2 linked regions of the Caenorhabditis elegans genome follow. The protein of the gene in region 1 purifies or fractionates together with the protein of each later gene. This does not show direct contact. Each region holds a gene or a part of one and is shown in the gene's direction. Other genes may lie near its edges.

What was found.
Region 2: the proteins of dss-1 (region 1) and rpn-3 purify together in Caenorhabditis elegans (affinity purification with western blotting, with the first as the bait; one study listed by BioGRID). This does not show direct contact.

Annotation. Positions count from the first base shown.
Region 1 is NC_003281.10:1,193,628-1,198,050, reverse strand, and holds dss-1 (putative 26S proteasome complex subunit dss-1), read left to right. Parts: upstream 1-1,758; 5' UTR 1,759-1,774; coding exon 1,775-1,885; intron 1,886-3,245; coding exon 3,246-3,383; 3' UTR 3,384-3,665; downstream 3,666-4,423. Other genes in the region: mrpl-45 (Large ribosomal subunit protein mL45), read left to right, coding at 352-605; Y119D3B.14 (Tr-type G domain-containing protein), read left to right, coding at 4,261-4,423. UniProt on the Caenorhabditis elegans protein: Subunit of the 26S proteasome which plays a role in ubiquitin-dependent proteolysis. Has an essential role in oogenesis and larval growth. Required for intestinal function and default lifespan.
Region 2 is NC_003281.10:8,445,532-8,450,159, forward strand, and holds rpn-3 (26S proteasome non-ATPase regulatory subunit 3), read left to right. Parts: upstream 1-1,821; 5' UTR 1,822-1,825; coding exon 1,826-1,937; intron 1,938-1,985; coding exon 1,986-2,360; intron 2,361-2,403; coding exon 2,404-3,131; intron 3,132-3,178; coding exon 3,179-3,478; 3' UTR 3,479-3,815; downstream 3,816-4,628. Other genes in the region: hsp-110 (Heat shock protein 110), read right to left, coding at 1-399, 443-770, 876-1,203, 1,252-1,358; mrpl-32 (Large ribosomal subunit protein bL32m), read left to right, coding at 4,227-4,455, 4,507-4,628. UniProt on the Caenorhabditis elegans protein: Acts as a regulatory subunit of the 26 proteasome which is involved in the ATP-dependent degradation of ubiquitinated proteins.

The DNA of each region.
Region 1 (4,423 bases):
TTCAATTTTCAGCTGAAATTTTGGATTTGACGTGGAAAAATCATGCTTTTAGACGGAAATTCCAGATTTCTAGCTAAAAAAAGCAATTTTTCGAGCACATTTTGCATTTTCCAGTCAAAATTTAAGAATTTTCGGGTAAAAAATGCGGAAAAATCCGATTTTCACCGAATTTTCCAAGCTTTTCCACCCAAAACTGCTCAAAAATGCAAAAATTTTGGAATCTTCGCTCAATAACGCGGAAAATTCGAAAATATCCAAAATTTTTTGAATTTTTGGGTAAAAAATGCGGAAAATTTTGATTTTCACCGAATTTTCCAAGCTTTTCCACCCAAAAATGCTCCAAATCTGCAGGCTCCGAGGACGAGGAGAAAGATGTCGTCGAATACGTAGTTTTTGAGAATCATATTGCCGTAGTCGACGGAGAATGGAGGCTTCACGGTAAAATCTATCCGAAATGGATTGACGCGAAACAGGGAATGGTCGGTACACAGATGCTCAGCGCGGAGCAAGTCGAAAAGCAGCACGCTGAGGCAAAAGCTCTTCCGTTGAGAACTACTGAGAAGTTGGAGGAGGCGAAGAAGGAGAAGGAGCAGCAGGAGATTTGATGCACCATGTCGTTTTTTTTCGTTGTAGATTTATAGTAGTTTTTACACTGTTTTTGTTGGGAAAATCGTGAAAATTTGGAGTTTTTGAGCTAAAAATGAGCATTTTTGGGTTAAAAATGACCAATTTTCGATGTAAAATTCAATTTTGGAGCTAAAAATGAGCATTTTTGAGGCAAAATTGAGCTTTTTCGTCCTAAAAATAAGAATTTTGGCCTAAAATTGAGTATTTTTGACCTAAAAATGGCCAATTTTCGATATAAAATTCAATTTTTGACTTAAAAATGAGCATTTTTGAGCCAAAATTGAGTATTTTTTGACTTAAAATTTAGTAATTTTCAGTTAAAAATGTGTATTTTTAAACTGAAAATGAGCGTTTTTGACTTAAAACTGGCCATTTTTATGTGAAACTGAATTTTTCACCTTTTGAAAATTGAAAATCCCGAAAATTTCGCAATTTTTGACCTCAAATTTCGATTATTTTTGGCTTTAAATTCAATTTTCGAATATTTTATTAAAAATTCTGAATTTTTAGCCGAAATTTTCGAATTTTCGAGCTAAAATTTGGATTTCTAGCTGAAAAGTTGGAATTTCAATGGAAAATTCGAATTTTAAAACTAAATTTCCAGTTTTCTAGCTTAAAAATCAATTTTTGGAGCAAATTTTGCATTTTTCAAGTCAAAAACGCGCATTTTTCGAGTTTTGACGTTAAAATGTAAATTTTCGGCTTTAAAAATGGCAAATTTGCTCCAAAAATTGATTTTCAAGCTAGAAACCTGGAAATTTAGTTTAAAATTTTGAATTTTCTATTGAAATGCCAATTTTTCAGCTAGAAATTCAATTTTTGGCTCAAAAATTTGAATTTTCACTCAAATTTTCAATTCTTAACGTAAAATTTTAGTTTTTTATTCAAAAATCCATTTTTTTTTTGCCTAAAAATTTGGATTTTTCACGATTTTCCCTGCAAAAATGGTGTTTTATAGGATTTTTCTTTGTTATTTTATTGTTTTTATTTTTTTTATTTTCAAATTGTTTGTTTCAACGCAAAAATTATTCAGAAAAACTGTATTTTTTGTTCATTTTTCTATTTTTAACCGGTTTTTTGCCATTTCTACCTTTTTTATCCGATTTTTCAGCCTTTTAAGCCTATTTTCAGCCTATTTCCAGTCGAAATGTCATCTACCGCCGCCAAAAAAGACGTGAAAAGCTCGGCTGTTCCAGTCACTGCTGTCGTTGAGAAGAAGGAATTCGAGGAGGAAGAATTTGAGGAATTTCCGGTTCAGGTAGAGGAAAATGGCGAAAAAATTGTGAAAATTGACGGATTTTAAGCCGAAAAATCGGAATTTTTGGCTATTTTTAGCCAAAACATCGAAAAAAAAATTGGGAAAAATAAGAAAAATTTCGAAATTTCCCTTAAAAACCAAAAAAAAAAATCAATTTTTCACTGAAAAATACGCTATTTAAAAAAAATCGGTAAATTTGAAAATTTTGCAAATTTTCGGCCAAAAAAAAATCAGAAATTTTGATTTTTTGCGAACTTTTTGCCGAAAAATCGGAAAATTCAAAATTTGGCCAATTTTTTAACTAAAAAATCGGAATAATCGACTTTTAACCAATTTTTTGTCCAAAAAATTAGAAAATTGGAATTTTGGCCAATTTTTGGCCGAGTAATCGGAAAAATTGAATTTTTACCAATTTTTAAGGCAAAAAATCGTAAAAAAATTGATTTTTATCAAATTTTTTGTCCAAAAATTTTGAATTTGGCCCATTTTTTTAGTCAAAAAATTAGAAAATTTAAATTTTTACCAATTTTTTGACGGAAAAATCGGAACAGTTGAATTTTGATCAAATTTTTTGGCCAAAAAAAATGGCTGAAAATCCAAAAAAAAAAGTATAAAAATTTTCAGAATTTCCTCAAAAAAAATCGAAAAAAAAAATCCTATTTTCTCTGACAAACTCAGCGATTTTTTTTTAATTTTTTGTCTGAAAATTCCAAAAAATCGATAATTTCCTGTAAAAATTCGGGAAAATAGGTTTTTAGGCGAAATTAAAGTACCGAAATTTGGAATTTTGATGCAAATTTCAGAAAAATCGATATTTTTCCTTAAAAACTCGAATTTTCACTGAAAAATCCGCTATTTTATCCATTTTTTGTCGGAGAAATTCAAAAAATTCGAATTTTGGCTAAAAAATCCAATTTCTGACCAAAAAAGTCCAAAATTTTGAATTTTTATCTATTTTTAGCGGAAAAATGGCTGTCAAGAGAAAATGGAAGTCAAGAAAAATTGCAAAATATCAACAAAAAAATTACCAAACATTTCATAAAGTCTGGAATGTTTTCAAATTTTATTCAAAAAAAAATTCGAATTTTCCAAAAAATGTGAAATTTTTAATTTTGGGCAAAAAATCGAAAAATTTGGATTTTGACAAATTATTTGGTGAAAAATTCGGCAAATTCGAATTTTGACCAAATTTTTAGCCAAAAAATCGGAAAATTACAATTTTTACGAAAAAAATGGCTGAAAATCCAAAAAAAAAGTATAAAAATTTTCAGAATTTCCTCAAACAAAATATTTTTTAAAATTGAATTTTCTCTGAAAAATTCAAAAAAAAATCGATTTTTCTAAAAAAAAAATTTTGCAGGAATGGGCTGAGCGTGCCGAAGGAGAAGAGGATGATGTGAACGTTTGGGAGGATAATTGGGATGATGAGACTCATGAAAGCGAATTTTCGAAGCAATTGAAGGAGGAACTCCGCAAATCTGGACACCAAGTCGCCTAAATTTCCGATTTTTCGCCCATTTTTTTTTTGCTCTAAAAATTTCCGATTTTTCCCATTTTCTCCCGTTTTTCCCCAGTTTCGCCGTAAAAAATGCTCATTTTTGAGCATTTTTCCCCAATTTTTTGCGATTTTTTTCCTAATTTATTCTCCATCACAATTTTCCGCCGCTTTTCCTCATTTTTTACCCCTTTTTTTGTGAAAATTTTGGATTTTATCCATATTTCCTCCCTTCTGAAATGTAAAATGAACTCAATTTTTGCGGAAAAAATTATTTAAAATTTTTTTTTTTTGCGAAAAAGAGGTTCTCATCCATTTTTCATGTTTTTGAGTCCGAAAAAAAATTGAAAATTTTGAAAAAAAATTCAAATTTTCCGCCAAAAATGGATTTTTTTTCCTGAAAATTCGAAAAATTGCCGTATTTTTTGAATTTTTTGAAAAAAAGTGCTAAAACTTGGAGAATTTTTTTAAAAACTCGATTTCCAAAAATTTCCGGTTTTCGCGAATTTTTCTACTGAGAAAATCAAATTTTTGAAAAAATCCGATTAAAATTTAAAATTTACCGATTTTTTTCCAGAAAAATTGATTTTTTTTGACAAAAACCTCCAGAAACTGAAAAATTTTGAAAATTTCATTGAAAAATTCAAATTTCCCCCAAAAAAATTGATTTTTTCGAATTTTTCGCAAAAAAATTTGAAAATCCGATTTTTTCTCTGAAAATCTAAAAAATTTTACAAAGTTTTTGCCAAAAAAAAAAATGAAAAAATTTGTAAATTTTCAATAATTTCCAATTTTTTCCCATTTTTCTACGGAAAAATTCAAATTTTCGAAAAAATTCAAAATTTATCGATTTTTCAGCGCAATTCCTACACACACATATATGCTCCGTCTGCTGCTGCTGCTGAGCCGGCGGTGCTACAGTACCCCACCGCCACCGCCGGCGCCGTCAAAACTCCGAAATATCGGAGTTATTGCGCACGTTGACGCCGGCAAAACTACAGTAACCGAGCGGTTACTGTACTTGGCTGGGGCTATCCACGTGG
Region 2 (4,628 bases), 7.3 Mb from region 1:
GAGAAAGAATTGCACATTGCATGGCAGCTCCACGAGCGACAGCCTCGTCTTGATTCATCGTGGTTTTCGGTTCCTTTCCGAAAAGATCCTTGACAATCTCTCTGATCATCGGAATTCTTGAAGATCCTCCGACAATTTCGATCTCGTCAATTTCTTCCGGCTTGATAGACACTCCGTCTGCGAACAAGTTAATGAGAACCTGCTTGATACGGTTGAAAATTGGAGCTGCAAGATCCTCAAATTCTTGACGTTGCATCTTTCCAGTAACATCCTTATCCTCCATAAAGCATTCAATGTTCAGTGGAATTGGAGTTTGATTTGCTGACATTTGCTTCTTCACACGCTCACATTCGTCCAAGAGACGTAGCCATGGACGAGGAGATGTTGCGGCATCAATTCCTGCAATAACTTCAATTATCAATTTACTTTCATTGGGCCTTACCGTATTTTGTCTTGAACTCTTTTCTGAAGTGCTCTCGAATAAGAGCATCGAACCAAATACCACCAGACTCCAAATCGTATGATGTGTTAACCATCTGAAGTTTTCCACGATTGAAAGCAACCAATGAAGCCTGTGTTGACGAATGACCGATATCAAGGAACACGACGTTGCGCGATTTGGCATCTTCCTCTGGGAGATCTTGCTTGTAGATTCCGTAGGCTAGAGCAATTGCAGTTGTTTCATTGACGATGCGAAGAGAGTTCAATCCGGCATATTGAATAGCTGAGAGAACAGCGCGTCGTTGAACATCAGTGAAGTAGGACGGGACCTAAAATTAAAACGATTGTCTAACAATTTCTCAAGTCTAAATTGTTCGATAAAATTATAGTTAAAATAAATTGATATTATTCAGAAATATTAAACAAACACTTACAGCAAGAACGCAATCTGAAACTTTCTTCACGTCAGAAAGTTGAGATTCCACAATAGTACGAAGCTTCGTGAGAAGGGCAGCAAGAACTTGTTCTGGGGTGAAAGTGTGAGGTTCGCCAAGATAACTGACTTGAACTCCGATGTCATCATTTGGAAGTTTAACCACTTTACACGGGATGAATGGAATGAATCTTTGCGCAACAGGATCACTGAATTTTCGTCCAATCAAATGCTTGAAGTTAATAACAGTGTTCTTGATGTTCGTGGTCACTGCTTGCCGAGCTGCAACCCCCATTGATCGATCTTTTGGTCCAAAAGATACGCAAGCTCTGGAGAAATAAATATTTAGATTTCATGTTATGAAATACTACACTTACGGAGTGGCATGCAGAGAATAGTCATTGGTGATAACTTCAATGCCTCCTTGACGTGCAACGCCAATGTAGCAGTTGAGGTTACCGATGTCGAATCCAAGAACCGACATTATTCTTTATAGCAGGAGCGCTGAAATTAAAGATAAAAGTTTAGACAGTTTAGACCAGCTAAAAACGGACAAAATGGGTTGAAGAAGCTTTGAAAGTATATTTATACAAAAACCAAATATTTTTCTAGAAATTTCGAGCAAATAAAAAAAAAGTGAGCAAGAAAACAAAGGTGAAACAGCGAAAAACGACCGAAAAGGGCGTGTCTCAGGCTGACTCCCTTATAATGGTGTTTAAAGGCACACCGAATATTCGAGAAACGTCTAGTACATCGTTGCGAGACCCATGTAAAATTCTCTACAGAGCAGACTTGCATTATTTTTTATTTTTCAAAATCATCATTTTTCAAACATCGTTTTTCATTTTATTAACGTTCTGTTGTGTTTGTTTTTATTTATTTATTTTATTTTACGTGAAAAAAAGCTCAAATTCTAGTGACACTCGTTTTATTTTCAAATTTTAAAGGGAAATGGCTCCGAAAACTGGAGAAACCGTCGTTGAAAAAATGGAGGTAGATGAAGCTAAGCAAGATGTCCCAGCCACCGAGCCAGCAAAAGATCTCAACGCAATTGCAGTTGAAAGTAAGTGAAATACAGAAATACTAAAGTTTTGATTGCCTTCTTTTCTAGATATCAAAGAACAATTAGCTGCTCTCGACAAAGGAGAAGAACATTTGATCACTCGCGTGTTGCAAGTATTGCCGAAAACTCGCAAGCAGATCAATGACAACGTTCTTTACAAACTCGTGTCTTCACATTTAAGCAGTGATGCTCAGTTCGCCGAAGGAATGTTGAAGTATTTGCATTACACACCCGCCGCTGATACTGAAGTTCAGCCAATGGATACTTCGAATGTCAAAACAAAGTCTCCAAAAAAAGGCGTCAAACCAGTGTTTGCATCTCCCGAATCAGATTGCTACTTGCGTCTTCTCGTTTTGCTTCATCTTTATGCTCAAAAAAAGAATACCGAAGCTCTTGCTCTCGGCGAGAATCAACTCACATCAAGTAAAAAACATATTTTAACCCAAACAAAACGTATAATTTTCAGTTTACAACTTTGATCGGCGTACACTGGATGGACTCGCAGCAAAAACCCTTTATTTCCTCTGTGTGATCTACGAACGAGAAGGACGTCTTTTCGATCACCAGGGATTCTTGAACTCTCGACTCCGTACTGCAACTCTCCGTAATTTCTCCGAGTCACAAGCCGTTCTGATTTGCTGGCTTCTTCGCTGCTACTTGATCAACCGTCAATATCAATCAGCTGCTCATCTTGTCTCCAAAGTTGCATTCCCAGACAATGCATCTAACAATGATCTTGCCCGCTACATGTACTATCAAGGACGTATAAAGGCTCTTCAACTCGATTACAATTCGGCGGCTGGATATTTCTTGCAAGCTCAGCGAAAAGCTCCACAAGAAGGTGCCATTGGCTTCAAACAAGCTGTTCAGAAGTGGGTTGTTGTCATTGGTCTTCTACAAGGAGAGATTCCTGATCGAAGTGTGTTCCGTCAACCAATTTATCGCAAATGTCTTGCTCACTACCTGGATCTCAGTCGAGGCGTTCGCGATGGAGATGTTGCTCGTTTTAATCATAATTTGGAGCAATTCAAAACACAGTTTGAAGCTGATGATACTCTCACATTGATTGTTCGTCTGCGTCAAAACGTCATCAAGACTGCAATCAAGCAAATTTCTTTGGCGTATTCCCGAATTTATATCAAGGATATTGCCAAGAAGTTGTATATTACTAACGAGACAGAGACTGAATACATTGTAAGTAATTTATATTGACAGTTTTATGTTTATTATAATTGTTGCAGGTGGCGAAGGCTATTGCCGATGGAGCAATCGATGCTGTTATCACTTCTGATGTTCGTGATGGACCTCGGTACATGCAAAGTTCAGAAACAGCTGATATTTATCGTACTTCGGAGCCACAAGCTCACTTCGATACTCGTATCCGTTACTGCCTCGAATTGCACAATCAAGCTGTCAAAGCTCTCAGATATCCACCAAAGAAGAAGATCGCTGTTGAAACTATTGAGCAAGCTCGTGAACGCGAGCAGCAAGAGTTGGAATTCGCCAAAGAGCTGGCTGACGAAGATGATGACGATTTTTAAACCGATCACTCACTTTTTTAATTTATTCTGAACAATGCATTGGAACGTGTCTGTCTCCGTAAATAATTTTGTGTGTATTTTATTTGAATTTTCTCGTCTCTTTTCAAATCGAGATCCCTGTCCACTTTTTTCCCACACCCGAATGAATTTTATAAGGATGAATTGCATATTTCACCAAGTCTTTTTAAAATATATTTTGTTTAAAATTGGTATTTTTCACCGATTTTATTTCTGAATTAAGTAGTGTTAAAAGAGAAAGATCGTCTAAAAAATAATCTTCAATTCTATCGTGATAGAAATCCATGAGTTTTCGAATAAATACTGTATTGCAACATCTAAATATACGATTCTATTAAATTTTACAAAAATAATGTAATTTGTCTAAACACTTGCTTTACGATGTCCGCAAACACTACCTGCACACGAACTGCGTCAGAAATTACGAGCACGATTTTCTTAATTCTTTTAGTTCAGAAACTTTCTTGAAATCATTTTAGTTATATTTATGTTTATTCAATATATTTTGTATTACCAAAAGTAAAAAAAGGAAACACTGAAAATCCCATTAATATTTAAACTCTATTTTTCTCTGAAACTAACTGGAATTCAATTTTGGAATTTATTAGTTTTAGTCAATTGCTCTCTGATATTTAATTTTTTTTTCATTTAAAAAACATAATTTATTTAACTACGAGATCGATTATAGCGCTGCTTTTCTTCCTCTTTGAAGTTTAAAATTATTTTCAGAATGAATGAGGCTCGAGCAAGGATCATAATAAACCTGCGGCTGTCGATGGACTCGCTGATGCGAGTTTTCAGTCACCGATCACCACCTCCTTCATTTGGATTTGCTTGCGATGTCGGTGCACATCCATCATCAACTGCACAAAACTTGCCAATGACATATGGAAGTGTTCGCGAAATGATTGACGATTTTAGTATTGTTTTTGGAGTTCCAAAGTATAGAACTAGCAAACGTACGTTTATATGTTATGTAAAAAAACTGATTTTCAAAATTTATTTTTTAGCAAAGAAAGTAACTCGCAAGTTCTCATTCACACGCCTTCTTCAACCGATTGATAATCTTGTGACATGTCCAGCGTGCTCGAATATTCATCCATCGGACACTATTTGTGATGCCTGCTACGCC